Bombyx mori: one gene and its partners. The protein of the gene in region 2 purifies or fractionates together with the protein of the main gene of each other region. This does not show direct contact. Links are inferred from orthologs where the notes say so. Each region holds a gene or a part of one and is shown on either strand. Other genes may lie near its edges.

The links.
Region 1: the proteins of uncharacterized protein LOC101743276 (region 2) and putative RNA polymerase II subunit B1 CTD phosphatase RPAP2 purify together in Homo sapiens (affinity purification with mass spectrometry; 3 studies listed by BioGRID and IntAct, counting the BioPlex papers as one, with this or other methods). This does not show direct contact. The link is inferred for Bombyx mori from reciprocal best matches to the Homo sapiens genes POLR2M and RPAP2.
Region 3: the proteins of uncharacterized protein LOC101743276 (region 2) and DNA-directed RNA polymerase II subunit Rpb4 purify together in Homo sapiens (affinity purification with mass spectrometry; 3 studies listed by BioGRID and IntAct, counting the BioPlex papers as one, with this or other methods). This does not show direct contact. The link is inferred for Bombyx mori from reciprocal best matches to the Homo sapiens genes POLR2M and POLR2D.

Annotation. Positions count from the first base shown.
Region 1 is NC_085121.1:1,512,691-1,523,920, forward strand, and holds putative RNA polymerase II subunit B1 CTD phosphatase RPAP2, read left to right. Parts: upstream 1-8,637; coding exon 8,638-10,440; 3' UTR 10,441-10,592; downstream 10,593-11,230. Other genes in the region: uncharacterized protein LOC101736188, read right to left, coding at 3,918-4,003, 4,530-4,679, 8,353-8,355.
Region 2 is NC_085116.1:3,259,208-3,270,860, reverse strand, and holds uncharacterized protein LOC101743276, read left to right. Parts: upstream 1-4,040; 5' UTR 4,041-5,366; coding exon 5,367-6,302; 3' UTR 6,303-6,491; downstream 6,492-11,653. Other genes in the region: SEC14-like protein 2, read left to right, coding at 7,571-7,633.
Region 3 is NC_085114.1:9,603,917-9,615,510, forward strand, and holds the start of DNA-directed RNA polymerase II subunit Rpb4, read left to right. Parts: upstream 1-4,826; 5' UTR 4,827-4,936; exon of another isoform or gene 4,937-4,945; intron 4,946-5,743; 5' UTR 5,744-6,110; intron 6,111-11,594. Other genes in the region: uncharacterized protein LOC119628842, read right to left, coding at 2,565-2,713, 3,674-3,832, 4,010-4,249, 4,442-4,490. UniProt on the Homo sapiens protein: Core component of RNA polymerase II (Pol II), a DNA-dependent RNA polymerase which synthesizes mRNA precursors and many functional non-coding RNAs using the four ribonucleoside triphosphates as substrates.

The DNA of each region.
Region 1 (11,230 bases), on a different chromosome or scaffold from region 2:
AAAAAAAATGCCTCATAATTTATACTTTAAGCAAATAACAATTCAAATGTATTTCAGATAAAGATGAATAGTCAGTCTCCCAAAATTTTGTGAGACTGTTCTCGTCATCATTAAGCTCATCGTTCGCACCACAGATAATACGTTCGCACGGTGTTGCCAGTTATTGAAATACATTAACGAAATAAATGGCGCGCTACATTGTTAGACTTGTAGTAAAATTCCATAGACACAGCCCACTGAGTTTCTCGACGGATCTTCTCAGTGGGTCGCGTTTCCGATCCGGTGGTAGATTCTACGCAGCACTGCTCTTGCTAGGTTCAGTGTTAGCATCATTTCGGTTTGAGCCCCGTGAGCTCACCTACTAGTTAAGGTTACGCTGAAATAGCCTCTCAAGGTTATCAGCTTAGGTAGGAAAAAAAAAAGAGTGAAATTCTTATTAGTGTGGTTGAATATATAATCGGTATCCTTTCTCTTAAAGACGAAAAGTCGAAAGCATCCTTAATACCAGATATAAATCAGGTAGACTGGTAGGCAATAACAAAATGAACATAAATATTCATATACCATTTATAATTGAAAATTTATAAAGTTTTGGTTCGGTTTTCGCGTATTGTAGGCATAATTAACGGTACGCAGCGGCTTGACCCTGACCCGGCATTGCTGACGACCACCAGCGACGGTAACCACTCACTATCAGGTGGGCCGTATGCTCGTCTACCTACAAGAGCAATATAATAAATTGAAACTATTTTTCAGGTTTAATCTTGCTCTTATTATTTCCGACGTTTATTACAGTTCTGATGCGACATTTGAATATTTTGTTACTACCGTCTGTTTTTGAATAAAAGATTTTCTTGCCTTAAATTACATTATTGTGTAAAAATAATATAATATAATATTAAAATGCGGCAAATATCACACGATCTTAATCATGTATGATCAGAACTATGGCTCGATAAACAACTAATGTGATCTTTTATTACAATAATAATTACTTATTTTATTTCAACAATAAACATAATAATATACTTGTGTAGTTCAAGCGAAAAATTCACTATTTATTACAGATCAACTATAAAGATAGAGTTGATGATATGATTGTTATCGTAGATTGAGTTACGCTCAATTTGATTTCAAAAATTGTGGACGTAATCATTTCAAAAGAAAAAATCCTTAACATGAGCCTCATCCTTGGGCAAAGCTTCAAATGATATGGATGTTTTTTATAGTTATTGCTTTGATCATAGTTTGCAAAGTCGTAAATAATACTGAATTTCCTAGTTGTAGACTTATAAGAAATCAAAGTAGAATCGATTTGCAAACGACAAAACCGAATGTTTTAAATGCAGTTTTAAATTTTCCGCGCATTAGTTTACCGTTTTTGAAGCTTTCGTGATTTAAGCTTGTGACGAACTCGTAATGTCATTTTAATGAACAATATTTTAAATTATAAGCCTTATTTATCAATAAAATTTAAATTCTATGCTATTCGGGACATGTAAGCAATAAAAAAAAAAAAAATCTGTTAACCTCTGTCGGTGAACACGGCAAAGATAAACTAAAAATAGCGCTCGGATATTAATTTTCTCTACATGTGTCAAACAAAAGTAATAAATCTCTTTTCTGTGTACACTTTCCCATATGCCATATTTTAGTTTACTCTGATTTTAAGCTAGACTAGTTAGGATTTTGTACACAGGAGAAACTTATAACGCAGATTAAACCTGTAACACAGGATAAATTCTTAAATTTACTGACGTCGAATGTGTATCGTTTGTTTAATAACTCAATTAACTTTTACTACGTATTTTGAACAGCCGTGGCATGAACTAGTTCGATTAGTAAAAGTGTATGGGCGCGAACGGCCATGACCGCTATTAATATTATAAAGGATGTAAGCTGTGGGGCAATGACATTCCAATATAATTAAGGTTCGAAATACCGCCTCAAGGGCATTGAGACGTAATGTCCGACATAAACAAAACTGTAACCAACCTTAAATCATGTATTTAAGGTTTTTTTTACCCTACCTAAGCTGGTAAGCCTTGAGAGGCTATGCCAGCGTAATCGAACGAGTAGGTGAGCTCTCGCGGCGCAAACCTGACGACGTTGCTAACACTAGCCCTAGCAAGAGCAGTGCTTCGCTGAATCTACCACCGGATCGGAAATGCGACTCACTGAGAAAATCAGACTATAAACTCAGTGGGCTGTGTCTATAGGTTAATTTACTCACTGAACCCTGAGTCGCAAGCTTCGACGTGAACGGTGACCGGTGCTTGAGGTAATTGCATAGATTTGAACCATTTCGTCTGATGTTCAGTAGTCAAACAGTTGAAAGTCTCCTACCAACTGGAGGAATGAGGTCGCTCTGTGTTACTAACGCACTGAACTAAACGAGTCCGCCCAACCTAGTTTCGTTTCAAACTTTCACAAAACTAATAGAATTACAATTTTTCCGTGCATTATACCAAGTTCCGGACAACGCCCGATCTAGAATAAATTAAACCGACTGACCTCGATGTAATGTATCGAATAAAGTTAATAAAAAACAAAAGGTTTAGCTTTAAAATACATATATTATGTATAATACTTTTACTTTTTAACTATGATTGACTCGATAGTACAGTAGTTAGCGACCTCTAACTGTTGCGCCGATGATCGTGGGTTCAATTCCCGCATCGGGCAAACAAAATTTTGATAAACATGTTTGTTTGCTCTTTGTCTGGATGATTATTATCTATATGTATATGTATTTATTTAAACGTAAATATGTATGTCAGCCTCTGATACCCATAACACAGGGAATACTAATTTGGGACCGGACGACCGTGCGTAATTTGTTCCCAGTTATTTATTTGATTACTAGAGGTCCCGCAGTAGTCGAAATTCGACTATAATCAATTGGAATTGTAAGTTTGTACACTATTATGATTGTATTTTAAACTTCTATAATCGCAAATTTCGCCAAGACTACACTATAAAAAATATTAACAAAGACAAACAATGTTTAATCTATTCTCAATTTGACCACAGACGTCAAGAACAAAAGTTTGACAATAAATAGTATGACGCATGCGTGTGTGCGTCAAATACATGGTATGTAGTGTGTGTGATGTTTTTTTTATTGATTTAATGTATCTTTTATGCATTATTTAAAAAAAATATTAGCATTGTGTACTTCTTCTCTATATTCTCTATAAGTGTGGAAAATTTCATACTCCTCCGTCCGCGGAATTTTCGTAAAAAGGGATACAAAGTTTTTGCTTCACGTATTAATATATAGATAACTCATTATGATAACCAAATATAGACCTTTTTTAATTTCACACGTTTTTTTTCATTAAACTATTTTTTGACAACCAATGCGATGTGGTTACTGTAGCCCATAGATACCGCAATTGTGATAGTGTGTTTTTAATGCTCTCGATAGCGTAAAAGTGAACTTAAATTTGTATGGAGTTGGAACGTTTGCCTAAGTTTGCCGGTAGGGGCGCTGTTCCAACTCCATACTTTGAGTTAACTTTTACGCTATCGAGAACGTTAAAAAACTCGCACTAAGCACACAGAACACAATCTCTCAATTCGATAACGAGATCACAATAGTATTCTATACGAAAACCAAACGTACCTGAAGCTAATAAAACGCAATTTTGCATGGTCATTTTTTCCCCCCTACCTATTCGCTGGCAGCCTAAGGGGCTATTCCAACTACAATCGGACGGATGGGTGAGCTCATGGACTCAACCTAAGAGAATTTGCTAACACTAGACCTAGCAAGGGGAGTGCTTCGCAGAATCTATCCCCGGATCGAAATCGCGACCCACTTAGAATACCCGGCGCGAAACTCACTGGACTGCATATTCGTCAGAAATCTAACGCCGTTTTGATCGGGAGTATCTATTGTTAAATAGAATTACCTGTCGCAAAGAAGGTTTCGTCTTTCATCCGATCTATATGGGTACAGTTTGTTGTGTGCCTCGCGCTGCACTTTGGCTAGGTAAACCTGAAATATTTGAAACACTATAAAACTTTTGACTTATTGAAATTAACACGAATTAAATCCTAAATTCTCGGACGACTTCCCTGTCGTCAATTCATTTAACTTTCCTTACTTAATAAATTAAGCGAAAGTGGCCATATTCATATAATTTTATTTTGAAATTAGTTCAATATGAACGGCTAGTTCAATAATCTTTGATATTAAATTTCACACTCTGGCGTTTCATTACAATGTATTCGCTTACTAAGAGGGACTTACTGGTGGTAGGACCTCTTGTGAGTCCGCGCGGGTAGGTACCACCACCCTGCCTATTTCTGCCGTGAAGCAGCAATGCGTTTCGGCTTGAAGGGTAGGGCAGCCGTTGTAACTATACTTGAGACCTTAGAACTTATATCTCAAGATGGGTGGCGCATTTACGTTTTAGATGTCTATGGGCTCCAGTAACCACTTAACACAAGGTGGGCTGTGAGCTCGTCCACCCATCTAAACAATAAAAAAAAAAGACAAGATCTAAAAGCTTTGTCCGTACCTTGGAACCTTCGAACAGGAGTGCCACAAAGAACAGCGCGATCCAGGTTAGGGCGAACGCCCACCGCGTGCTGATGATTAGGCCGGAGAACAGGAAGTCTCCGAGGTCGTAACCGAACCACATCCACATGTGCATCTTAGCGGTTTTTCTCTAGAGTAATCAGTGAGAGGTGTTCACTTTTTTTAAAGTTGTTTCCGCCGTAGCTTTACAGCGTAGCCTACACTTTATATCGCCGAAGCGGAGACCCTTGCTGGGTATCAGAATGAAAGATAGCCAGGGTTCAAATTAAGTACTAATATTAAGAAAAAAAAAGACTCACAAACCCTAAGAAATAAAGTGGGTGTTTTTTTTTACCTAAGCAGATTGCCTTGAGAAGCTATTTCACGGGGCTCAAACCGGAATGATGCTAACACATGCCTAGCAAGAGCAATGCTTCGCAGAATCGGAAACGCGACCCACTGAAAAGATCCGGCGAGAAACTCAGTGGGCTGTGTCTATGGATCAATTCGCTCGTCGAGCCCTTCGTCGCAAGCGACGGGTTCGACGAGGACGGTGACCGGCGCTTGTGGTATCTAAAAGCACCGTTAATTGATCGGGAGGATCCGTAATGAGTGGGTGTACTATGATGATGATGATGATGGATGGGAAAATGGTATTTGAAAGCCAACTTCATATTTTTTACTATAGTCGAACAGTAATTTATTCTAACTTCATTCTACTCAACTGGTGAAGCAGTGAACAGCAACCCTGACTGCTGGTCATGGCTCGATTCACACTTTGAGCAAACATTCATGTGATGAACAATTTTGTTGTCTGGGTCACTGGGTGTTGATACACATTTTTAATTTATATATTATATTGATATAATTATACATCAGTTTTCGATATCCATAGTACATAATTGGAAATCATATTTTGAGACTGATGAATTTGTGAGATTTTAAAGAAATAATGATAAAATTCATTTAAAACAGAAGAAGTATCTCAGAAAATTTTGAAGCTTTATTGTTTGTTTGATTTGTATTAGAACACACTACTCAGTTCTTTAATAGAGCTCTATAAGTTTTGCGTGTTTCTTGTTCTAAATTCTTATAATTTAATAAAATTTCTAAATAAATAAGATACCTTAAATCTAAGATGCAATTAGACATAAAGCACCCAGTTCTTCAAATGTTTACTTAAGTAAATATGTACATCAGAGTTGTATATTTCAATGTCAATGTAAATTTACCCTTTAAATAAGCAAATCAGACTCTAGCGGCTATTGCGTGTGTGTGCACAGATAGCAAATCCAAAATAATTCAAATCAGATTTTTTTTTAAAAAGGTTATCTATTTTACTTAAATCAATATGAGGATTTTTTATTATTATTTTTAAGTACCATAGGAGAAATATGGGTAATATTTTCACTTAATAGCAAATTTTGTTTAAAAATACTGAATCACACTAAAATCACTTACAGTAGTTCTCAAGCAGCTGAATGATAGTATTAAGCCTTGTATTATACTATTTTTAGTTTATAGAATCTAATTTAAAACAATACTGGGAACAATGGACAGTTATCTTTCATAAAATGTTGACCAAATTTTGTATACTAATCACAGGCCATTGTGATTGATATGATTCATGTGATTGTCTTGTCAATTCTTCAGTTTGAATTTATTTTTAATACAGCCATAGGTAAACATGGATGCATTCAGTTTACCAATAGTCTTTAACATCAGCAATATTTGCAGAACTTAGAATAAACCATTTATTGCATGTCAGCAGAGTTTCCTAGCACTCTCCTAGCTGTTTCAGCCACTATCAACATAATGTGAGGAGAGGATAGAGTGGCTATTCTTCCAATGCTATGAAGTCATTCAGAATCAGGATTTTTAAATTAACCAAGATTATAAAATGGAATGCCATGATTTTTTGGTTAATAAAGACTAAGAAAACCACCAATTACAAAACAAAACAAAAATTGGGGCCACTCTTACATAAACTCATACTGGGTGATTTGAGTATTGTATATTTATGGATTGATTTTTAAATTCCAGTATGTTTATACTTAAATTTTAAATAGTTTATTTTTATATTGAATGTGAAAATTATGTTTATAGTAGCGCTCAATGTTTTAAAATTTAAACTAATATATGTGTAATATGAACTGGGATGTACCATTTGGGTCCTTTGTGTTATATTCTATTTTAGGCTTCAACTTCTCAATATATACTAGTTTTTAAAGTAGGGCTTTATGTTTTGCTTTATATATTTTATAATCGTATTTCTATGAATAAATTAGAGCCTGTTAAGCTAAATCTTCATAAGTAAATATTATCAAATAGGAGAAATTCTAGTGGATCTGGTGAAGTGAATATTTGTTGGTTTAATTACATAATTAAGAAATAATTATTCACATTAGTCATTACTTTGTAAGTAGGAAAAATCCTTAATGTTCTTAATTCACAATTTTATTAAGTGAAGCACTAGTATAGTTTAGCGGTGGGCAGCGGCTTGAATCTGCCCCTGGCATTTCTGAAGTCCATGGGCGACGGTAACCACTCACCATCAGGTGGGCCGTATGCTCGTCTGCCTACAAGGGCAATAAAAATAAAACTAGTATAGAACATTGTAACTAAAATAAGACTGGCATATGAATACCAAGTTTTTGTAAGTTTAAAAAAAAAAAAATTATGCATTTTTGTTTAAGCGCTTTAAAATACAGGTATCAATAAGGACTCTAGTTCATTACATTCAAAATAATTTTAAATATGATTCAGTGTTCGTAGCACTTACCTACTACTTATCAATTAAACTGTATTGTCCACTTCAAATTGCTGCGTTCCATTTCTATTTACCAAATGCAATTTTCATATCGTTCGACACCAACAACGTTATCTAACTCATTGATAATTTTAAAAATAAAAGTAAATAACTTTATCATAACAGGCGCGCTCTTATCTTTTGAAACTTAATTTTTTTCACCCACTTTTGGGTCAGCTACAAATATTGCATCTGACTATAAATTATGATTTTAAATTGTATACCAAATTAAAGCCTAACTGACGAGTCTGAGAGCAATTTCTAATTAATACAAAATACAAATCATACAAATGAATTGTCAAATAGACAAGTCTGTTAATAAATACTAGACTAAAATACTATGGATCATTATGGATGTGTGTACCTAGTACGCAAGTATTGTCTAGTACTATACTACTGATCCGTTAATGTATATCCTGGATCTTAATAGTTTTATTAAATAATATCATGTCCAACGCTTAAACGACGCCAGTCCAATCCGTAATAACTTTGTAGGCTTATAGTTTCGGACAGATATTGTCCAGCCGAGCGGAACAGATAAATCAAACAAACAAAACCAAAGCTTTTCGAATTATTCTGAATAGTTGAAGAACCGTTTCGAAATAAACAATTCGGCTTAATATTTCCACGTGAGTTCATTCATACTTTAGTCTATATATGAAAACTATTCAGCAGTAGGCGAGCTGTATCCCATCTACTGATATAGATTTTAAAATTGCTTCAGCATAAGGCAATCAAAAATAAAACGGTTACAACTTGATGATTTCATAATTAAATCATTATGGTTACCGGAATTGTGGATTAAAAGACTTAAGATTTACTGACGTGTCCGACGGACTGAGGAACTAGTAAATAAAGCTTAACCTTGAGAGACGACTAACCAGACCGCCATTAATAATGCACAGGGTAAATAATAGTACCAGAATATGTTGAGGAAATCAGTTCAGTCTATTCCATTTACATAATCTATGCATGTCTAGGACCCAATCCAATTTAAAAAAAATCTAATACTAACCATAGATTTAGACACGTAACCTACTCCCAACCTGAGTTCTGAGTTTCTGAGTGAAATGAAATTGACATCTGACTTTTGCTAACATGAAAGAAAAAGCATTGTGTGAATTAACGTTGTAGGTACTTATTAACTCCATGGAATTAACATAATATATTAAGTGTATTATCTACGGTTCATGGAACAGACAAGGCTTATGGGCTTAGATCCTTTTGCCTTTCCTAATAAGGAAAAATTGTACCAAAAAAAATAACTATGGTTCTGATCTGAAATAAAAATAACAATTTTATGAATAAAATGGAAACAAACGTGAAGCCTCCTAAAAAAAAACCTACAACAATAGAAGACCTCACGAAAGAACAAATTCAACAAGCGATAATTAAGAAACGAGAGTGTAACTCAAAAGCGCAACATATAGTTGAAAGTTTTCTAGAAAATAGCATAAACGAAGTTTATTTCCTCAAATGCTTACCAGACCTAAACCAGTCTCATTTCGAAGATGTTATTGAAGAACGATCAATCATAAGTCTATGTGGTTACCCGCTCTGCTCGAACACATTATCCAAGAAAGACATACCGAAGCAAAAATACCGAATCTCCATGAAAACGAACAAAGTATATGATATTACAGTTAGAAAAAGCTTTTGCAGTAATAGTTGTTATAAATCTGCCATGCACATTAAAAAGCAGATGCTAACAAGCCCGCTTTGGTTTAGAGAATATGAGATAATCCCACAATTTAATTTATTACCAATGAATTCGGCAGATGGTTGCATGGGACAGGAGATTGATGTGTCAATAATTGACAGAGTGAAAGTAGAACTTGAAAACAAGCCTTTCGTAGTTACCAATGGTTTTGTAAAAGCTACTCTTAGAGATATGGCATCAAATAATGGTAAAGATGATGTATATAATAAAGCTACTGAGGAGCAAAATGAACAAAACTTTAAATTAAGTACAGAAAGTACTGAACTGGATGAAAAAGAAATGAAGCATAAAGACAGCGTAAATAAAGCATCAGAAGGGAAATCCTATATCTTAAATTCAGAATCAAATTCTGTTCAAACACAAAAGTATCTACAGGAAAAATCTTGTCCTGTATCAGTGAAGTCTGAAAATACTGATAAAATGAAAAAAGCAGTATACAATCCAATGAACATTGTCGGAGATATCATAGAAAAACCTGAGAAGAAAATTGATTTGACTTTACTAAGTGCAAAGGATGAACAAAATAACGCAAGCTCATCTCTATCTCAAGAAAAAAAGAAAGAGAAAAAGCCATTAGTGACTGTATTAATTGTAGAAGTGGAAAAATGTCTAGCAGAATGGTTTACTTTAGACACATTAATTTTTCTCTATGGCGAAGAGAAAGTGAGAGAAATGGTATCAGATAAAGAAGACAGTGTGAAAGAATATCTGAAAAATTTTACAAAAGGTACATTCTACAATTCCACAGCCTATGATCAATACCAAGCTTTATGCAGAAAACTTAATATGCTCGAATTAGAAGACAAACGTTATGATGCCAAAACAATGCAAAGGGAAATGAAACCGCTGCCAGATTACACTATACTACAGGAAGAAAGCAAGAAAATACAATTGAAAGTAAAGGCGTTTTTTGCTGGTCAAACTGAAATACCTGAACCAGAGCCTGAAGAAAAGAACACACAATCAGATGAGAACTTCACAGCTTTGCCATTAGTAGACAAGAATTCTCAAAATGCATTACGTAGACGAATAGTCTGTCAACATTTAAATAAGACCCTACCGGACATCTTGAGGTGCCTAGGTTTATTAAGTTTGGCCATAAGCACAGAGGTGCGTCTTTTGGTAAACACATTCAAATTGAAAGCAAATAATATAATGTTTAAGCCGATTCAGTGGACTATGATTACCATAATATTTATAAAACTTCTATCATTAAGAGATGTACACTTGGCACACTTATTGGAGCAACCAATGGCATACCAACATATTCAGTTGTTACTCTTGAGTTACAAACAAGATAATGGCTATTTAGATAGACTAATATTTTGGCTGACCGATGTTGATAGATTATTGAATACAAACAGTCACTGTGCTATAGAATGATTGTATGCATAATCTTACTGTAACATTAATGTAACTTGTGATATTTTAGATTGTAAATACTTGTTTTGTTCAAAACACTTTTTTTTAATTCAAAATATTGTTGTTTTAGTTTCATGGAATATAAACTTGCCAGAGTAATATTTATCAATAAACTCGCAAAATTTTTATTGCATTGATAATGCAGAAGCTCACAACTCAGCCAGTATAAAAAAAGGGTTCGTGTACTTATGTACGCTCGTAAGAAGTTATACTTTATTTTTATTAAATTTATTCCCTTTTTTTTTAGATATTAAATAATTAATAATAAATATTTAACGTTAATAATTTAATAATATTTAGTATGAATTATATTAAATAATAATTTTGTCATTTATATTACAAAAAATAATGCTGATAACACTTCTTTTTACGAGTGTACATGCGCGAAAGTTCACCTGCGGCTATATTCAGACCCGCCAAATTACGTCGGTAGATTTAGTGGGCAACTTCATTCTGTTAATTTTGTGTCACGGTGCGCGCGCATCGTAAAATTTCACTCTCATCAATTTTTCATAACGCGCCTAAAGAAGTATATATAACTTCAACAGTTACTGGACCCCATAAACATTACAAATTTAGATGCCATTGTGCTACTTGAGTCATGAGATTCTAGCAATAAAAACCTGGATATACTAATTTTGCTAAGTTTTAATATTTTTTCTCTACTTATTTGAATTAGTTTCTTTTACCTACCTATTCACTGGTAGCCTAAGGGACGATTCCAGTTACGCGCGGACGAGTAAGTGAGCTC
Region 2 (11,653 bases):
AACTATACTTGAGACCTTAGAACTTATATCTCAAGGTGGGTGGCGCATTTTACGTTGTAGATGTCTATGGGCTCCAGTAACCACTTAACACCAGGTGGGCTGTGAGCGCGTCCACCCATCTAAGCAATAAAAAAATAAAAATTGTAACAAAAGGCATGCGCGCACAACTAATCAGGACAAATGTGCTAAGTAAACAATGTTCATTACAAACTATAGGACAAGACAGCATGATAACGAAAACCAATCAATTTTTGTAAAGTAACTATTGATTTCATCTTTCATCTCATTAAAAGAGTCATCAAAATAATCTAAATATTGAGAGATTTGAAAATCAAATTTATGAAATTTTGACTAGGTAGTATTTTTAAATACCCGTTTCTAAGTATGTTAAATTTCGCCTCTGGCACATTGCAAATTCATTTATAAAACCACCCAGTATATCATGGTTGCAAATACAAAATTTGCTATCTGCAATTTTTCATGATTGAATCGAGTAGTTCACCAACAAGGTTAGGTCATAAAATAACTACAAAGTATATGCACTACACATAGAACTTAAACAACTTTACAGCATTAATATAATATGTAAAATTGTTACAGTTAATTGATACTTACAGCAGTGTGTTTAGCAAATTTGACACATATCCTTTTGCAGCCTAGTAACTGTCCATTCAATGAGTTCATTGCCTTAACAGCATCTTGTTTCAATTTGTATGTAACAAACGCAAACCCTCTCGGCTGTCCGGCTGCAGGTCCGCTACGATGGAACAGCATGTCGAACTTCTCAATATTCCCATAGACGCGGACCAGTTTCAGTAATTGATACCGGTAATGAACAAAAATTGATGTTTTATTATATTGCCTTTTATTGGTACGATAAAGAAATGGAAAAGAATGAGTATATCAGAGGAAGTGTGAAAGTAGCCCCGGTAAGCAAGAAGTTAAGGAGCGGACGGTTAGCGTGGTATGGATATGTGATGCGTAGAGAGAACGATGTAGTCGTCGTGGCCTAAAGGATAAAACGTCCGGTGCATTCGTGTTGAAACGTTGCACCGGTGTTCGAATCCCGCAGGCGGGTACCAATTTTTCTAATGAAATACGTACTCAACAAAATGTTCACGATTGACTTCCACGGTGAAGGAATAACATCGTGTAATAAAAATGAAACCCGCAAAATTATCATTTGCGTAATTACTGGTGGTAGGACCTCTTCTGAGTCCGCGCGGGTGGGTACCACCACCCTGCCTATTTCTGCCGTGAAGCAGTAATGCGTTTCGGTTTGAAGGGTGGGACAGCCGTTGTAACTATACTTGAGACCTTAGAACTTGTATCTCAAGGTGGGTGGCGCATTTACGTTGTGGATGTCTATGGGCTCCAGTAACCACTTAACACCAGGTGGGCTGTGAGCTCATCCACCCATATAAGCAATAAAAAAAAAAAAAGTGAAGATGCATGTGACTAGAAGATGTATGGAAATGGTAGTGCAAGGTAGAGGGAGGGAGAAGATGTCGACCGAAGAAGACATGGATATGTGTGATTGACGATATGAAAGAGAGAGGAGTGAGTGTTGAGATGACGGCTGATAGAAGAGAATGGAAGAGAAAAATTAGCTGTGCCGTCCTCACCTAGTGGGATAAGGTGGAGGAAAATGAGAAGATAAAACAATGTAACTCTTTTATAATTTTATGTTATGAAATTATATAGAGACATTTATTCTCTTTTTTATAGCTATCTTTGAAAATTACTTTAATATTTTAAACATACTCATTGACTCTCAGGTCTAGATTCCCGATCCATAATCTTCTGTCACAGACTTCATTCTGGTGGACTGGGTCCAAATGTAATGGAACCTGAAAATAAAATACATAGGGTATTGTACAGCATATTTAAATTTGGTTAAACATTATTGTAATGTTTTAAAGAGGGTTTTAAGTCACCATGATAAATAATCTTTTTTTATGAATTCGTTAATACAGTAGCATCAGAGTTGTATTTACTTTTTATTTTATTTTAATGGGTAAACACACTCACTTCACACTTTGTCTCTGCTACTGTGTTGGGAGCATTAACATTGCCTTCTGAGACATTCATTCTCATTCAGGTCTCTGTGCCTTATTTAGCAAGACAGTGGTTTAGCTGGCTTTGCTGACATCTATGAGTAACTTTGACCATTCAACATCAGGTCTCCAGTATGTTTACAGATAAAACAACAAAGTTGGCAAAGCAGCTAGTGACCATGTATTCAATGAAATGACTATAAAGGATTTTAATACAATTTTTTCTCAGTTCATAAATGTTCAAGAATGATTTCCACAATGAATGATTAACAAGTTTTCTGATACTGAACTGATAGCTCATAAGTAAAGAGATAAATGAGCTCACAGCCAACCTGGTATTAAGTGGTGACCAGAGCTCATAGATACAACATGACACCCTTCAAACTGAAAAGCATTACTTCTTGACAAAAAAAATCTTTAAACTGCTACACTACTAATTCAAGTATATTTTTTAAATATATAGCCAATTTCACATATTGGCCATTGAAAAAATTGTCTGCTATGATTCTTTGTTGTCAAAGTGAAACATTCAGTATTTAACCAGATACAGCTTATGGATTCGACTGTCCCTTTCAAAATGCGAAACATGAAAATGTTAGACATTCTACCCATCAAACTGGATTTCCCGACTAAATTGAAAGAGTCACCATAGTACAACCAACCAGTGTATGCTCCCAGCATCCTGTACCTCAAAAAAGGATAAAGTAAGAAAACGTGTGCTATTTATGTTCATTTGGTCATTGTTTTCATTTCAATGATAAAATCATCTATATAGTTTGTGGTACAATTAATTTGAGTCAAATTATTATCATTTAAATGATCTTTATGATACTTTTAGTTTGTAATACTTGGGTACTTGTTAGATGAAAATCAGGTGATAAATGAAAATTTATGCAAAGTATGATTATTTATTTAGAATACCGTTCCTTCCATGTCTCTTGAGTGTTGAATCTGTTCCTTTAAATTACTTTACTCTTAGATCTCTTGGTGTTCTAGAATTCTTGGATCACATAACTTATACACTAATTATTCCTACATAATATTTTAACTAAGCATTGGACTTGCGCATTGTTTATAATTTGTATAATTTCACTCGTGTACATAATATTTTTCTAGATAATTATGATCTAAAATATGTGTTTACTCTATGATCTAAATTCTATGACATATTTAACCACAGATCAGTAAAACGTTTTTTTATTAAAGGGATTTTATGACCTGGTAACTAAGACCTTTAGATCATATCTTATTTTAATTTATATTCATATTTTTATGAAAAATGGTATTATGGAGTGAAATGAAATGAAATGAAGATGATTAATTTGAGACATTAATCAACTGGGATAAAATTAAATGAGATGATATGAGATGAGATATAATCTATGATATATAATATTGGTGGTCATTTACCTTCATTTACTGAGATTTTTTCAGTGGACTTTTTGGAGGATCCCGAGAAGTTACGTCCAGCGGCTTTGTTTCATTTTCCCACATCTGTGCACTTTCACAGATATTAAACAGTTAATAAATCACCGTTATCTTATACCTTCAAACGAGCAATTCTTGTATATATATATATATATATGTATAATCTGAAACTCGGAAACGGCTCCAACGATTTTCATAAAATTTAGTATACAGGGGATTTCGGGGGCGATAAATCGATCTAGCTACGATTTATTTTCAGAAAATTTTGTTTTATTCGTGTTTACAATAATCAACTTTCCCGACATCTATTGGCGAATAATAATACTATTTAAAGACACAACAAGATGGCGTCATCAAAAAAAAAACGAGCAAAGCTCGGTCATCATCTAGTTACACATTTAAACGTGAAGAAATACCAAATAGACAAAATTATACAACTTCACCCCTCGCGTTCCTGCCAAAAAGTCCTCAGTAAAACGTCTTAAATAGCAAGCATAGATAAGACATCAATAAGAAGCAACAACAACTTAGCAAGGCACAGACTACTCACTTTTTATTGTAAGGTAAGCCTGCCGTTTAAATGCCCCCCGAAGCATACACACGAGTGTACGCCCGCGACTCTTTCGCTACTCGCCGTCATTCCTTTTCGAACTTGTTTGTGGGACCCTTTGGAGTATTCATTACCTGATGCTCCAACTGCTGGGCAACACAAAAAAATGTAGTATCTATGCCACTTCACTTATTTTTCATTATGGAAATTGGATTTTTGCGACACTCTTTGAAACCCAAGGTTTTGGATGTGGCAGCCCTAAACCTCACACAAAATGTTTGGCAGAATTGATTTTACTTAATTGATTTAAAGTAAAGATATTTTAAATGCGGAAGGTCATTTTGGAGATCAAACTCAATAGATGCAAATTTCAAAGCAGCAAAGAAGTATTCCGTGTATAAGCTCTATTTCCTTTCATTATCATAGAGGACGATGTCAAGGCACAACCTAATGAGCTTCTCGCCGGATCTTATCAGTGGGTCGCGATCCCGAGATCCGGTAGTAGATTCTGTGAAGCACTGTTTTTGCTAGGGTCATTGATAGCAAACTCTCTTAGTTTAATACCCGTAAGCTCACCTACCCGCCATAGCGTAATTGGAATAGCTCCATAGCGAATAGGTAGGGCCCGCAGAGTCTATCGAGAAACTTGTTGTTCAGGGTAGAGTAAATGGTAAGAGATCTCGTGGACAAATCTCCATGCGCTGGACTGATCAGGTGAAAGACTTTACTAAAACCCCACTTAACGAGTGCGCACGCACTCGTTAAGTGGGGTTTGCAAATTATGGAAAACATCTGTCAAGGCTTTAATAAACAACAATTTCACATGACCACGACTGCTTTGCCAAGAGCAACCGACTATAATGATGATGAGGGGGAAAAGGATTTAATTTAAGTTCATGGCTTTTCGAATTCTTACACAAATCTCACGAAATATACTTTCTCTCCATTTTACCAACGTTATATCTATTTAATTTTGTTGCATTCTACTATACTTCATTTCACTTCACTTCTTGTTTAAATCACAATATGAGTTCGAATTCACAATTTAAGGTTGAATAGGCTATGTTTCCTTTGTCCTAGTTGACAAAATAACAAAAAAGGGCAAAAGTGACAAACAAACAGCTAGTGTTTTCTATTTCCACAAAAAGTTAACCAAATCCAGTATTTTTAGTATTTTTACCTATATAAATCTTTTAGATTCCATGTGAATGTAGTAGTAGTTGTTGCAAATGTAAGTACAAAAAAAGAATTAGTCAATGTTACAGTAATAACAGGAATTAAGATCGTTAAAAAATGTGAATGCGTTAAAACTAATTGAAAATATATAAATAATGAACAAGATAAATAAAAGGATACCTGGTATCTTGCCGCCGCCGCCAAAAACAGAAATCGATGGAAAAATCACCGATCTATCGTTAAAAACTATTCCTGAGTTGCTTGAACTACGAGATAGACAAATTAAGTTATTAAACAATAAAAGTTTTATATCTAAACTAAGTGACAAAGGTGCTAAAATACAGATTTTGTACGATAAAATCTTATCCGAATTAAAAGCGAAGCAAGAGGAAGAAGATGCGTGTCGGATGTTCGAAAATATGAAACTGAATGGAATTGACAAACAATCCGTACAAGAATTAGAATGGACAGGTACAATTAAACAATCCACAGATTTAGATTCAGATGACGACAGTGACCCTGAAGATGTCCTAAAAATCTTGACTCAGAACTCATTCCATGAGAAAAAAATTAAGATTTTAGAACCTGAAAAACTTTCGATAACCCCTGAAGATCTAATCAAGATAGATGAGATCCCCCACGTAAGATATATAGTTAACAAAACGGAACACAACACCAAAGCCAAAGTAACGAGACAGTTTAAGCCACATAAGACCACAAACACAGATGTCCACAACCCAGAAAAGGAAATACAAAGAGGAAAGAACAAATGTAAAAAATGGGAGGTGACTGCTGCCACACCTCCTCCTACAATACATGGGCCAGCAAAAATATTATCCATAGAAGACTCATTAAAACTCCAGCAAGAACATAACTTACGTCTTAAAGAGGTGAATGCATTACATGCAGCTGAGAGGCTGGCTTCAATGGCTGGAGTCAAAATGAGTCAGTTGCCATTGGATTTATCAAGGTTTGGTTCATACCGAGACACCAATAGTGATGATTATGAGTCTGATGGTGAGGGCAGTGACAAAGAAGTTCATGATGAGGAGCCTGAGAAAGGAGGTGTCATATTTACCATAATGAAATAATATACATACTAAGTTCTAGAACCAAGTTCTCTCATGAGAGCTTAGTTAGACTTACGACTTTCATGGCTCATGCCAGTCCTCATTTTTAAGGGATCAAAATAGCAGGAAAACGACTGGATTGTAATTTAACTGTGTACTTACTGATTTAATGTATAATAATAACAATAATAATAAATTTCTGTCTATTTATGTATACTTCATTATTATCCCTTACAATTCATTACTCTGAATCCGATATAAGCTTAAAGCGTAAAGTATGTAATTATTTGATTAAATAAAATTTCGCAACCTCAAAAAACCGTTCTGCTTACAGTAAACACAGTCGGTAGTCTGGCGCTCCGTTTACAACGGGATTTTTGAACGGAACTTGGCGCCAGATTCTACCTAACCTGTGGATAAAGCTTATCAGATTGATGTAAATGCAAGTCGCTCCCTAACATATACACTTATGGTATTTTAGATATACACTTCACCAGAGCTTGATAGACCCAATATGAGGGGAAAATGTGTATAAAGACAACAATCACGATATATATAAAATACACTTTAAGAGTTGTATTGTTAAATTTCAAAAAGGAGCCCTTAAATTACATTTAATTGAACATGTAAAAGGGTAGATGATAAGTACAGTAAGTTACTTATTTATTAATTTAATTAACTACATGCTCATTTCTGTCTATAAATTATGGTAATAAATTAATTCCTTCATTCGTTCCCTTCACACACGATTTAGGGCACAGCTGAGAGTGAAGATATCTCCCAGTGTTGACTTCTATTATGTAGGTAATATGCATTTTAATTAATACTTAGTCGTGCGACTAGCGGTTGCTCGGTTATTTTTATAAAATTCAACTACGCTTTATATAAAACGTAGAGTTCATGTTCGTTCATAGCGAGATACAGTATACTATACTGTATACCTAACTTTATATTGATACATACTTTACATACATATTTCGTGTGGGTCGCCATTACAAAATATAATCATAACTATGCATAACTCTATATAATATAATTATTAAACAAGTACGCTACCATTCGATCAATTGCCACCCACTTACTTGCCAGTACGACACTTGCCTGCCGCAGTGTATTATCTACGACTTGCTGTACGAGTGTACAAGGGTTCTACAAGTTGCGCGTAATTGACAGCCACAGATTAGCACTAAACACAAATATACAACGGCGGCTGAGCTCGCGGCAAACGCACGTTGCGCGTGTTATGTTAATTGGAAACATCACAAAATAAAAATAAACAGTTAGTGAATATGGCTCCTATGTCGAACGCGGTCGTAGGAATTGATGACGATCAACGGTTTGCTCTAATGAAGGTACGACTACACTTAATTCTAAATTAATTATTTCATTCTTATTTTATGTTTGTCGATTTTGAATTACTTAGGCAAAAATTTCTTACGAAGCACCAACTAGTGAACGTTCCGAAAAAAAAAGAGGTATTGTCATGATTTTTTTTTTTTTTTTTTTTTTTTTTTTCTCCCATTTCTTGGCCTGCACGGTTTGTGCGTCAGCCACGCAAAAAGGTTAGGAAGTGTGTTAATGGATTTATTTTTTGGATTTGAATTTGGAACGGAATTTGGAAAAAGGATCAGGTATATATATTATATAAACTAAGTACATAAATGGTTACAATTTTATATTATTATGAAAAATGAAACTAGCTAATATTCTATATACATCAATATTGATATTAGATAAAAGGATAGAAATTGAAGTAGGAAAAGGAATTTTAATGGACAAAAGTGAGGAAATAAAAGCGGAACGGTCATTTCGAGGACAGGCAAAGAATATATGATTAAAATCCCCAACGTCATTGCCACACTCACATATATCGCTAGGCAAAAGGTTAAGCCTTGCCAAATGCAAGGGAATGCATGCATGGCCCAGCCTCATGCGAATAAGGGTCGATGTGATAGCTTTACCAAACGTCAGATTTGAAAACCACGGTTTAGGAGGTATATCCACTTGGATCGTGCTGTAATATCGACCTTTAGTCTGTCTTGAAGAACGCCAAATGTGAGTCCAAGAATTCAATAACTGGAATTTAGGAAGCAGAGCTAAATCACAACAAAAGTTTTTGTACGGAACCAAATCTCCATCATTGACCGCAGCTTTGGCAAGGCTATCGGCCTTGGCATTGCCAAAGATACCCGAGTGCCCCGGAATCCAAGCAAAGGAAACTGTGTAATTTTTGATGCAACATTGATACAATAAATCACGACATGCAATAATCACAGGATGATTATTTCGGTTACTGTTAAAAGGAAAACGTTCCAAGGCTTGGAGGGCACTTTTAGCGTCAGTTAAAATTATTGACTTTTTAAGCTTCATCATTAAAATGTACTCCAGAGACTTCAGAAGACCAAAACATTCTCCAGTAAATACTGAAGTCTCTGGAGGCAATTTTATTTTCTGAACAATGCCAAACTGTTGATGGAAAATGCCGACCCCCACACACTCCTCGGGACCGGGTTTGGAGGAATCGCTAAAAATTAAATGACAATTTTTCCATCGGCTGTCACTGTCAATAATATCAACAAATTTGGCATTGATAGAAAGATCTTGTTTACTTAGGCCGAAATCAAACATAATAGATGGATTTAAAGTTAGGGCATCATAGTTAACACAAAATATTGGAAGGAATTGTGATCTATGTGTAGGAGCTTGAAGAGCTAAGTACTTTTGGAGACTAACAATAAGGCATGGCGGCGATTTATGAGCCCAGTACGGATAATCCATACATTCCAGCAGAGACCGTAACTTAGTGTAAAGAGGATGATTATAAACTTGGAATGCTCTAAATAGAAACCGGTCACAAAGAAATTGTCGTCTGAGGTGCAGGGGGGCTTCAGAACATTCGACCTGCAAAGCGTTAATAGGGCTCGAACGCATAGCCCCAGCAATTATTCTCAGAGCCTTAGACTGGATAATGTCTAACTTATGGAGAGCTACTGCATTACAGGGTTCAAGTATAAATGTTCCATAGTCCAAAATACTCCTTATTAGGGCATTATACAAAAGCTTTAGAGAGAAAGGGTGGGCTCCCCACCAAACTCCAGAGAGGCAACGCAATATATTTAGAATCTTCTCACATTTATCACTTATATAGTAGCAATGAGGGCTTCCTGTAAGTCTTGAGTCTAAAATTACCCCAAGAAATGTTGCTTCACTTTTAACAGGAACTCTAATGTTATTATAAAATACAGACACTGATGGAGGAAGCCTCATACGTGAAAATAAGACTATAATACTTTTAGGAACTGAAAGGCTTAGAGAGTTATTGTCAAGCCAAACTTTTAGCAACTTAAGAGAATATGTGACAGTATCAGACATGTTGTCAATAGAATCACCAGAGACATAGAGGAGTAAATCATCTGCATATTGGAGTGTGTTAACTTTACCCCTAAGGGAGGCTTCCAGATCATGAGAATATATATTGTAAAGTAAGGGACTTAAAACGGAGCCCTGGGGTAAACCTTTCCAGACAATACGGGATTGATAAGAGTCTTCTGATATTACTTTAAGCATTCTACCAGAGAGAAGATTGATTATGAAACTTATGAAAATTTGTGGGATATTCAAATTAATCATTTTTTGTTTCAGAACCGAAAGGTTGACATTATCATAGGCTGCAGACACATCTAAGAATGCTGCTAACACAGACTTATTGTATGAAAATGCCAATCTTATGTCTGTCATAAAAATGCTGAGACTATCCATCGTACTCCTACCTTTCCTAAATCCAAACTGGTTAGGAGATAGTAACCCTTTACTCTCAATAAACCATTCTAGTCTATTTTTAACTAGATGTTCGCAAATTTTGGAAATCACTGAAGCTAATGCAATTGGTCTGTATGATGATGGATCATTAATGGGTTTGTTGGGCTTATGTATTGGGATAACTTCATGGATTTTCCATGATGGAGGAATATTACCTGATGTTAAGATTGAATTAATTAAACTGAGAAAATAAGAAAGGCAGGAGTCGTTCAGGTTTTGAAGAAAAGAATATGGAATTCCATCACAACCCGGGGCTGAGTCCCTAAGCCTTGAAAGAACCCCTTTGAGTTCTGAAAGGCTAAAGGAAATGAATGAATCGCTACTATCATGCTGGGAGAGGAGAGAAGGCTGTGAGTCAGAAGAAATATTATCTATAGACGGGACAAATGGTGGAGCTAATTTGTCAAGAAACAAATCAACTGTACTACTATCCATGAAAGGAGACCTTGGAGGTTTGAAAGCGGATCTGAATCTACGAATATTTTGCCAAACTTGAGATGGAGAAATTTCTGGTGAAATTGAGGCACAAAAAGATTTCCAGCTATTGAATCTTTTTTGTTTTAATAATTTACGAGTTTTAGTTATAAGATTACTAAGAATATTAAAATTTTGTGTTGTAGAATTTTCTCTGTAATTTTCTTCAGCTATCTTTCTCTCAGCTATCGCAGCAGAACACTCACTGTCCCACCAAGGAGGTGATGGAATATACCCATTTCCACTATTGTTTTTTATAGGAAAAACTTCCTCAGCAGCTTGTAGTAGGGCCCGTGTAAAAGCTTCAGCACAAAGATGATTACTGCTGTCATTTAGTGGAGGTATGGTTGATAAATTTTGTTGAACTTTATCTCCAAATAATGACCAGTTGGCATCCTTAAGTCTATATTTTAGCCGGGGAGGGGCCTTTGATGTCTTTTCACAAATTTTTTGAGGAAATGATACCATTAGTGGAAAGTGATCGCTTCCATATGAAGACGATAGAGGCCACCAGTTTAATGTAGGAGCAAGTGAGGGACTACAAAGGGTAAGATCTGGTGCACTAATACCCTCATGGGGCTGTGTTCTTCTAGTAGGACAACCAGAGTTTAAAAGACATAAATTATTATCATCTAAGATGTCTAAGATTCTAGCCCCATAATGATCAGACTTAGAACTTCCCCACATAGAATGTTGTGCATTGAAATCTCCCATAACCAAAATAGGGCGCGGGAGGGAAGATAGGATGCTACGAATATCGTCAAAGACTTCATTGGAAGGGTGAGGTATATACATATTTACAAAACAGATATTATTTACACTAGCAGCAATAATAGAAAATTTATCACTGTGATTAGGGATGGGTAAGTGGACAAAGGGCACACCTCCCCTAAGAATTAGTGCCACTCCACCATACCCATCTGTTCTGTCTTCTCTAAGACAGACATGTCCTGGAATTCTAAAATTGAATCCAGGACGAAGCCAAGTCTCTTGAAGAGAGACTGCAAATGGTTTGTAACTATTCAATAAAAAAATTAAGTCACTTTTTTTACTATTAATACTCCGGCAATTCCATTGAA
Region 3 (11,594 bases), on a different chromosome or scaffold from region 2:
TAATAGTTTTGCCAATCCATGTGTCTATGTACATACAAGCTGTATATCTACTACAGCTGAATTTTGTGTATTTATCGGCCAATAAGGAAAAACTTACAGAAACCTGAAACCGCGATTTCATCTTGAATTTCTAAGGCAGTGATTCTCAACCTTTTTTTTTGTTGCCGCACATATTTAACGATTTCAAAATTTGGCGGCACACAAAAAAAAAGATAAAAAGAATTATTTACTTATTACAACACACTGCATAAATAGTTTATCAAAAAATTTTAATATACGAAATAAACTAAAATATACTATAATTTTTTTTTTGTGGTTTTAAATATATATTCTTGTTTAAAATGTTTTTCTTTTAAAATGATATAATTTAATAATATTAACATTATTATATATTCGCAAAATTTGGCGGCACACTTTTGAGATTTGGCGGCACACAAAGGTGCCACGGAACAGTGGTTGAGAATCACTGTTCTAAGGAATCTTGCATAGGTTAATAGGTGTTCCGAAACACATTTTTGGACGGACCGTTAATCATGTAATGGGTAGCGGGCGTAATTAGTGCCACCATATTATACCTATTTCTACCGCGAAACAGTGCTTGTATTTGAAAACTGTTATGTAATACAATTGAGTCTTAGATCGCACGGATCAAGGGTTTCCTTTTTTTATTGCTGAGATGGAGCGACTTGCACACTGCCCACCTGGTGTTAAGTCATCGGAGTCATTGGAGCCCATAGACATCAACAACGTAAATGCCGCCACCCACCTTCATATATGAGTTCAAAGTCAGCGCTCTATACAACGGCTGTCCTACCCTTCAACGCATTACTGCTTCATGGCAGGGCTCACAAGACACCCTACCACCAGTAAAGGGCTTCGGTGATCACTTAGCGCAGAATTAAAAACATAAGCTGTGGTATGTATCTACACTACAAGTTCCGACCGACTGTATCTATATACTATCTTGAAAGCGTAATATGTTATGTACATCGGTGGAGTTATTATAACACAGTCACGCTTTAGTGAAAGATCATAAGTTTGAATTATGAAAAAAATAACAACCACCTTTTTGCTAGCTATTTTATCAACCGAGCCATTAAGTTTATTATTAAGTCTCGTGTAGATAGTTACCTCTGTTAGCTATCAAGATTCATTTGTAAGGTCTGCATTAAATTTTAGTTAAGTCGGTGGTTCGTTTAGGTTTGTTTGGGTCCGATTGCCGTGGCAACGACTAGCCTCGCTTTCATATCACATCTTAAATTGACCTTATGTAAATTAGAGGCAATAATTGTGAATGTCGAGGTCAGAACCTTTTTACCATGAACCTAATTTTGTAACAATACGTAGGTGTTTTTGGTTAAATTGAGGAGTTCTACGGTTAATCGCCCACTCTCTTCCCGGTAGACCATATAAAGCGCTTTCATAGATTAAGTTGTAAGATATTTCTACTGTTATACTTATTATTATTATTTTAATATTAGTACATTTAACTCAGACTGGTGGTAGGGCCTCTTGTGAGTCCGCATGGGTGGGTACCACCACCCTGTCTATTTCTGCGGTGAAGTAGTAATGCGTTTCGGTCTGAAGGTTGGGGCAGCCGTTGTAATTATACTGAGACTTTAGAACTCATATCTCAAGCTGGGTGGCGGCATTTACATTGCGGATGTCTATGATATCTGGTAACCACTTAAGAGGCCGTGAGCTCGTCCATCCATCTAAGCAAGTCTTGTGGAGAAAATCGCTGGATCCCCAACCGCGCGGCAGGTGGGTATGTGGAAGTTAAACCTCGGTAAAAACTCTTGCCGCTCACAGCCGGTGCCCTACCCCAGACCGGGCCGGAGCCCAGTCGGGGCTATTGCGACGGCGGGACAGGATTAATACAGAGCATATTACATCCATCCCGCGGTCTCACAAGTGTAAAGTGGTTACCAGAGCTCATAAAAATCATGAGGTTAACAGTCTCATTTGTGTTGTATAATGGCTGTCCTACCCTTTAAACCGAAATTCTTGATAACATCCCAACAAAAATAGGCCAAATGGTGATACCTCCCTATAAACCCCATACCCACAAGTAAATGGCGATTGACGATCGTCAGAGAACCCTGCTGCCCATTCTCCAGTAACTCTCTTAATCGCTTTTTGCGTCACTTACGGGTAAATATGAGAGATGGTATTCTATAGCCAAGATAGGGTAGTAATTTATCACTGTTCCGAGTTTGGGAATGGATTTTTTACTCATATTTTTTTATATCTATTACTAAATATAATTAGAAAGATAAACACAAGTTTTTACATATTTTTTAATTATTACAAATTAATACAATATAATTTATAGAAAAGATACAGTCAATTTTACTCTACTACACTCATGTATATCAGTAAATGTTATTTTGTATTTGAAACTTCTATAGGATTATACTAAATAATTGTACAATTTACAGTACAAGATAAAAATAGTAAGTTTACACTTAGTCATAAGGCCTTTAAAGCTTTATAATTAAATTGTCTGTGACTTTTAAAACATCCAAAAATGACTTGACATAGACAATACTGACGAATGAGCATTAAATTATTTTTTTAAATGAAGAAATTCCAGCAACACCAATTTCTGCAAATAAATAAGCATTTTCTTCCATGTTCAAATATGGGTCAAATTCCCAAGAACTAACATAAACTTCAATGAGGCTTTCATCTCTACAGTGTGCTATGTTTTCTGAAAACAGAAATTATATACATTAATTATGTTTATAATTATAATTATCAGCGTCGCGCAGCGAGCTATGGAGATGGCTATGCTTGGTATTTCTCTACGGGGCCGAATCAGAAACGAGGAGATCCGTAGAAGAACCAAAGTTACTGACATAGGCCGTAGGATTAGCACACTGAAGTGGCAGTGGGCAGGCCACATAGCGCGAAGATCGGACGGCCGATGGGGCGGAAAGATCCTCGAGTGGAGACCACGTACTGGCAAGCTCAGTGTGGGACGGCCACCTACGAGATGGACCGACGACCTGGTAAGAACCGCTGGGTCACGTTGGATGCAGGTGGCAACGGACCGGCTGCACTGGAGATCACTTGGAGAGGCCTATGTTCAGCAGTGGACAATGGACAGGCTGAGATGATGATGATGATGAATTATGTTTACCTTAAATTACCAATAAGATAAAAATGTAAATTATTGAGTTATCACAGAGTTGTCAGGAAGCAGTATGTGAAATCTATTCTGTAGCAAATAAAGCCGGATATTTTCTGAAAATTATGTTTTGTATCCCAAAAATTTTCTATTAATTATTATTATTTATTTTGTTTATTAATTATTTTGGAGGCCTGCATAGAATTGAATGGTTTTAAAAAAGGGAATACTTGTCTTAGAATTCTAATGTAATCACGGGCATGTTGTTTTTATTCATTGCTTAGATGGGTGGACGAGCTCACAGCCCACCTGTTGTTAAGTGGTTACTGGAGCCCATAGACATCTACAGCGTAAATGCGCCACCCACCTCGAGATATAAGTTCTAATGCCTCAAGTATAATTAAAACAGGTTCCCCACCCTTCAAACTGAAATGCATTACTACTTCACGTCTAAAATAGGCAGGGTGGTGGTACCTACCCGTGCGGATTCACAAGAGGTCTTACCACCAGTATGTTTCAATAAATAATAATAATTTTCACCTGTCACAATTTTTTTTAGTTTGTACTCCTTTAAGAGTGATTCATATGTATTTTTAACACAAGCATGAATTCGGCCTACTGACCATGTCAAAATTACTGGCTGGTCAGTCGACTGCAATTTTGATAGTGAATCCAGTTGATTTTTTAGTATTTTTATACCTGAAATGAAACATTTAAATATGACATAGTTCAGTTTTGCATTAGAATTAGATTGATTAGAAAGTTAATGTATATTCCATTCCATTAAATTGTTTAAACTGTAACATTATTAAAAGTAGTCTCACATACTCCAATATTGTAGTTGATTGTTAGACTAACATACATCATTTTACTTACCCTCGATAATATTTTGAAAGCTATCTATAATTTCAACTAAGCCCTCAGTCAATGGCTTCAATAGGTGCGGATAATAATCATCATTATACTCGTGCAGTTTCACTGATGAGATCCCTTTACAAAACTTAGAACCTTTATCTTTTAGTTTGACCCAATCAATTAACAAACTATGAAACGAAGACACATGTGAAAATACAGTCTTTGATAAGCCTGGTTGGTCTTTATTTGGAGTTGTAATCTCTGAAATAATATCATTTATTAAATTACTTACTATTTCAATCGACATGGACAACAGAAATTTTGTTTGTTAAACTTTTTCTTCTTAATCGATGATGGGCAGACAAACTCACAGCCCACTTGATAATAAGTGATATTGATACCCAGCAACGTAACCATAATAGTTTATAAATCAAACTCTATGTAAATAATTACCTCTAGGTACAAAGTTGATAGCCAATTCTTTTATTGGAGTTTTGGACATTACGAACTTATTACTTAAATTTGAAATAAATATCTTTAGCCGAGTCTCTAAGTAGATAATAAAATTGAAGTGTTTTTGTTCTTCTTAATTTTTCAATATTGCAATTGGCTTACAGCCAGCGGTTACAAGACCTTCTAGTCCAGCTATAATATAATTTCTACGTAAAGAGCACGTAGAAATTCTAATCTGATAAATCAGAATTCATATGAAGCTAAATGAGATGAACTTAACTAATGTTAGTCTTTAAATTTGAGTGACATTATATGAAACTAGGATGTTTTATGATGCGTAAGCCGGATCGCACAAGAGGTGGGAAAAAGAAGATAGTCTGTGACACGGGACCTTTTTACCGCCGGGAGTCCGGGACTTTTTGGCGGGAACGCGAGGAGTGAAGTTGTGTGATTTGTTTTATTTTGTCGATTTAGTATTTCTTCAGGTTTAAATGTGTAATAACGGTGATTTATTAACTGTTTAATATCTGTGAAAGTTCACAAATGTGGGAAAATGCAACAAAGCCGCTGAACATAACTTCCCCGGAATCCTCCAAAAAGTCCACTGAAAAAAGGACATGGACCATACATTGCACGCCCCACTAAACGAACATCATCATCAGCTTATCTATTATTTATATTTATCGATTAAATATGTTAATATATTTTGCTAGTTTTTTGTAATACATTGTTTTCTTTAAGAAGATTTAATATGAATTATTTAAAATATAAATATATTTTACCCATGGCAGCTCCTTCAATATTATCAATGTAGCTTAATCATGCTTAAGTATTTCTTTTTATTTATGCTTTTGATTATCCCACCATTAAAATACCCTTAAATTTTATAATAAGTATGTAAAAATGAAATGTTTTTTTCTATAGATATTTTATTAATGTCCTTGAGGGCACGAGTAGCTGGGCCGAAAATGGCCCATGTCCTTTCATTAAATGACCACCATTTTACTGAGATTATATTTCATCCCATATCATCTCATCTCACTATATTTAATTTCATCTTACTTGATTATTGTCTCAAATTAATCATCTTCATTGCATTTCACTTCTTTCCATTATATAATTTTTCATAAAATTAAGAATATGAATTAAAATAAGACATGACCTAAAGGTCTTAGTTGAGCTGGACATAAAATACCCAAAAAAATTTTTTTTACCGCTGAATATTTAAAGGACGAAAAAAAAAAATGGTATAACTTAGAACTGTATAAGCCGCTGCAACAATAAAACTCCTATTGTTTCAAGTGTGGTGTTAATTACATAAAACACGATTTTCCCGCGAAATAAAGAAGGGACTTTATACGGACTCCCTCAATGGGATGAAATAAAATCGTCTCAGTAAAACAAGGATTATTAACTGAGAGTTCAGTGGACGTGACTAATGGATGCTCTGGATGAAATTTAATGAAACTAAATGGAATGAAACGTGTTAAGATGAAATAAATTAAAGATGTTCCAGTAAAATAGTGGGAATTTATTGACACTTAAGTATACTATCGAAGTAGTAGGTAGGTAGACTATCGAAGAACGTAAGATGTGCCGGGGCCACGGTAGTCAAAGTTGATCAGGTGATAATTGTGTAAGTGTGAAGGCTGGAATAGTTTCGACACAGGTAATTATTTTCATTTGAGAAGTAAGAATGGAAAATTTATCTAGTGGGTATTATTTTTCAATCATGCAACGTGGTGTTAAAATTTACATAAGCCAACTACTGTTCGCGATTTTGGAGCAATCTTTTTTCCGTGATAGTTCCCATTACAGAATCCTTTGCTAAATCGACTAATCTCCCTTTGCCTGTCCAAACTAGGGATGGTCTGTAACAGGTGAAATTAGAGACCTGTTCCACCTGTTCCTGTTCCAGCGAAAGAACAGTTCCAGTAGCCTGTTCCAATATAACAGCGTTTTGTTTTGCAACAGGTTTAATAATGTTTTAAATAGAATATGTCCACTTATAGGAACAGTTATAACATATGAAATGGTTTTAATACATTTTTTTAAATGAAAACAATCCTTCATGCTTTCTCAGGCTTAGGACTGACAACTGAATTTATTAATATTAATGATATGTGAAGCTAGTTTTGCCAAAATGTACTTAATACTTTAAATACTAACTAATATTGGCGAGGACTGCTCTCCCTCCGCGCCTCCGGTTTTTTATATACACTCTAGGGGTAGGGCAGACAAGACCAGGTGGAAAGTGATGTGCTCTGATTCGGTTTTCGATATTTTACGAATATTTTTGCAGTTTTATATCCAAAACACGAGCAATTTTACTGTTTTATATTTAAATCTTGTTTAAAAAGTTAATTTATTACAGAGACAGATTTTTTAGATGAGTGGACGAGCTCACAGCCCACCTGGTGTTAAGTGGTTACTGGAGCCCATAGACATCTACAACGTAAATGCGCCACCCATCTTGAGATATAAGTTCTAAGGTCTCAATTATAGTTACAACGGCTGCCCCACCCTTCAAACCGAAACGCATTACTGCTTCACGGCAGAAATAGGCAGGGTGGTGGTACCTACCCGTGCGGACTCACAAGAGGTCCTACCACCAGTAATTACGCAAATTATAATTTTGCGGGTTTCATTTTTATTACACGATGTTATTCCTTCACCGTGGAAATCAATCGTGAACATTTGTTGAGTACGTATTTCATTAGAAAAATTGGTACCCGCCTGCGGGATTCGAACACCGATGCATCGCTCAACACGAATGCACCGGACGTCTTATCCGTTAGGCCACGACGACTACGGGATTTTCCCGGGGATGAAATCCCGTCTTAACATTAGTACGGGTACCGCCTAAGGCGAGACTTTCGGCGCGCATCGCGGTACCGTAAGTTTCGTGTAGTCGGTGTGGTGGAGCTCGATGGGGTTTAGTCGGTAGTCGTTCTGCGGGGTAAGTGCTTCGCGCGCCTTTTTCAAGGCGTAGTCTCCTATGAGAAATTGGGGCAGGTGAAGGACCTCGGCCCTTCTCTTCTCCCCTTCTTCCTCTCAGGAGGCCAGGCCAGGAGGCGCCGGAGTCCGACATAACCCGGTCCGTTACCCCCCTCGACCGGGTAGCGTATTTCCATTTCCGTGTTCATTAGGAGGCAGTACTGCCTTGAAACACGCACGGGTTTGTCGCGCTAGCTTCCTTTACAAAATCGTGTTCAATTCAAGGCACGTGTCCTCAAATCGCGCACGGGTTTGCAACGCCAACTGCCCTTCTAAACACGTGTTCAATTCAGGGTACGCGTCCTCCAATCGCGCACGGGTTTGCAAGTATGCGCCTTGATTAAGCTCCACAAATCCGTGTTTGTTCGAAGGCACTTTTGTGTTTAATGAATAGGCAAGAAAACTCAAACAAAGTCTTTAACCTTTTATTAGGATCAAAATATATCTACACTCGGGTGCAATGAAATCGCACATCTGTACATTTTTTGAAAAATATTATTTACTTCTTTTTATTTAAAAAAATACATATATTTTTTAACATAAGGTTAAAGGATAGTTCAATACCTATTCAATGATACCACATAAGACATGATAAGTTTACCTGCCTGCTGAAACAAAACGACAACAGCAAACTCCAAAAATTGCTCCCTCAACTCACTGCAGTTTGCAAGACCAACTGCAGGTATAAAAAGGCATGTTTTGTATAAAACGTCATCCCTCCCGACTAGGCGCGTCAACACCTCCGCCCCCGCCGTTCGCCCAATCACGATGTTCGACCAGCCCATACCGTGGGCCCCGAAGGTCAAATATTTAGGCGTCACCCTCGACAGTAGGATGACATTCCGCCCCCACATCAAGACGGTACGCGACCGTGCCGCCTTCATTCTAGGACGTCTCTACCCGATGATATGTAGGCGAAGTAAAATGTCCCTTAGAAATAAGGTGACACTCTACAAAACTTGCATACGCCCCGTCATGACCTATGCAAGTGTAGTGTTCGCTCACGCGGCCCGCACTCACTTAAAGTCATTCCAAATCATTCAATCCCGTTTTTGCAGGATAGCCGTCGGAGCCCCGTGGTTCGTCAGGAACGTCGACCTCCATGACGACCTGGACTTAGAGTCCATCAGTAAGTATATACAGTCGGCGTCAATGCGCCACTTCGATAAAGCGGCACGACACGAGAACCCTCTCATCGTGGCCGCCGGTAACTACATTCCCGATCCTGCGGACAGAATGGAAAGCAGTCGACGTCGCCCAAAACACGTCATCTCGGATGCTCCCGATCCACTAACGGTGCTTCTAGGTACTTCAAGCACCGGTCACCGTTCTCGTCGAACCCGTCGCTTTCGACGAAGGGCTCGACGAGTAAATTAACTCTCAGACACAGCCCACTGAGTTTCTCGCCGGATCTTCTCAGTGGGTCGCGTTTCCGATCCGGTGGTAGATTCTGCGAAACACGGCTCTTGCTAGGGTTCGTGTTAGCAACATCGTCAGGTTGAGCCCCGTGAGCTCACCTACTAAAGTTAGGGTTACGCTGACATAGCCTCTCAAGGCTATCAGCTTAGGTAGGAAAAAAAAAAAAAAAAAAAAAGTCATTAGATGCAAGCCAACGTTAACCTGATAAGACTTCTAGTGACTCCAACGCCACAAATCCGTGTTTGTTCGAAGGCACTTTTGTGTTGTTTAATGAATGGGCAGGAAAACTCAAACAAAGTCTTTAACCTTTTATTAGGATCAAAATATATCTACATATATTCAAAGATGTATGAATATGGTATTGTATTGCAGGCAATCAACGTAGGTACTTATACAAATATAATTAAGTAATTTTATAAAATTAATGTTTTTTGGCAGGAGGCTCATTATCATCAATATTAGATGCAATATTATGAACACGTTTTCTTTTCACCGTTTCTGACTTGGCTGGTCGTCCTGATTGAATCCTTCCACTGCATGGTAAACCTTTCTTTGCGGCGAGCGAGCGATGTTGGTTGTACATTAATTTTTCGAGATTTTCGTGCGACATTTTTTTCAACTCTAAATGATATAATACTCGATGGAGTTTGTAGCTTCGACAAATCAGATTCAAACTTTGTAAGAATGTTTGTGTATGCAGCATTTGAATCCTTTTCCAAGATATCAGTAATTCTTTGCCACTGAGCTTTAATATTTTGAATAGCAGTGTCAAAGTTTTCATTGTTTATAATTACACTGTTTTCCGCTCGATTTATTGGAAGTTCAAAAGTGTTTGGTACAACATCATCTGGTGTAATAGAGTCAGTTTGGCTGTCTTCACTATTTGTGCCCGTAATATTTTTAAAGAACGACGGTAAAAACTGGTCACCCAGGGCGAATTTTGCAAATTGTTGACGATCACAGTCATTCAAATGTAGCGATGTGGTAAGTACAGTCCCATGTTTTCTTTCTACAGCGCAGATATGTTTACAAAATCGGCCCCCAGCACCATACGGACAGTCACATGTTGCCAATTCACAGTCCACAACATACAGATCAGTCTTCTTTTTCACGAAATAGGTATTGTCATCCATGTGTACAATATCCTTAATACTACTACTTGCTTGGCAAAATTTTTCATACGCTAACATAAGATTTCTTGCCCGCCCATTGGCAAACTGAATCAACCTTTTCTTGTGTTCAAAGGTATTCGCGATAAGGTCAACTAACGCGCACATATTGAACACTTTACAGCGCTGCAGTACTACGTCTTTAAAAATTCTTATTGAGGATTTACAGTAATTGTTTGTGTTATTCCCTCGTGTTAGAATATTAGAGCGATATGCTAAACACCACTCCTCACGCCGATTCCATAAACTTGTTAAATGTTTTTTAAGCTTTTTATTTTTCTTAACTTTCTCCTCATTTGATAAATCAGACATTCTAATTTCGGCTTCTTGCATTGTGTTGGCATATATTACAGTACGGAATTTCTTCATAACTGATTGCCGATCTTCTTTAATAACGTCATGTTCGCTTTGCCACAACCAACGCCAAAAAGCTTGATTTACATGAAATATGCAAAGAAGTACCTAATCTGCTGTTTGGAGATACTGTTCGTAAGGCATTCCTTTCTGCGCTGCTATCATCAGTCATAACGATTTTTGGTTGAAAAACCTTCTGGCAAGTCTCCTCTAAATAATCTTTTGCAGATTGAAAAGAATGTGTATAATTTTCTTGAGATTGACTTGTGTGCAAAATGACAACAGCAGGTAAAGCACCAATTTTCGTTGCAGCAAAGATAAATGTAACACAGGCATTTGTTTGATCACAAGATCCACTTGTATCCATAAACACCATTTCATCAGCCAAACCAGCCATGAACACTCTTTGCATAATAGGCGTTATTACAACACAAACAGTTGGTTCTTCTTTTAAATATATCTCTACATTTATCTTAAACAACTCTTTCGTTTTAAAACTTCAATTATATCACCGATGTCTCGCGTTCCGTAGGTTCGGCGGCGCCATTGTTCATACAGGTGAGTAACTTGGCGGTCGCATGGATTTTTTTGTGCATTAGATAAAGTAATGTAATGTTTGTTTTATTTGTCATCATGACAAGATAAAGTTTGTTTATTTATAATTATTCACAATATTACCAATTTATCTTTTAATATTTCCATAATCTAGTATTTAATTATTTAAAAGCACACACTTTTCTCAAACGCTGTACAGTGAAAAAACAAACGAATGCGACTGGCGAAGTGACGAGACGCGAGCGAAGTTTACGCGCGAACTTCATGGCTAAGTTCCATGCGTCACCTTGAACACGTGTTTAGAAGGGCAGTTGGCGTTGCAAGCCCGTGCACGATTGGAGGACACGTGCCTTGAATTGAACACGATTTTGTAAAGGAAGCTAGCGCGACAAAACCGTGCGTGTTTCAAGGCAGTACTGCCTCCTAATGAACACGGAAATGGAAATACGCGACCGGGTATCCGTCTTCGATCAACAATAGTAAAGGGCTTAGGTCAGCAGGAATTCAATAATGCGTCACTTTACACAAACAGCTTGTATTTATTTCCACTTTGCACTTACAGAGTAATTTACAGTGATCGTGCTTACACTTTCAACTCTCTGTCGAGAATGAATGCTACCTCGGTGTGCTTGAATATATATTGTCTGATCGCCCCACCA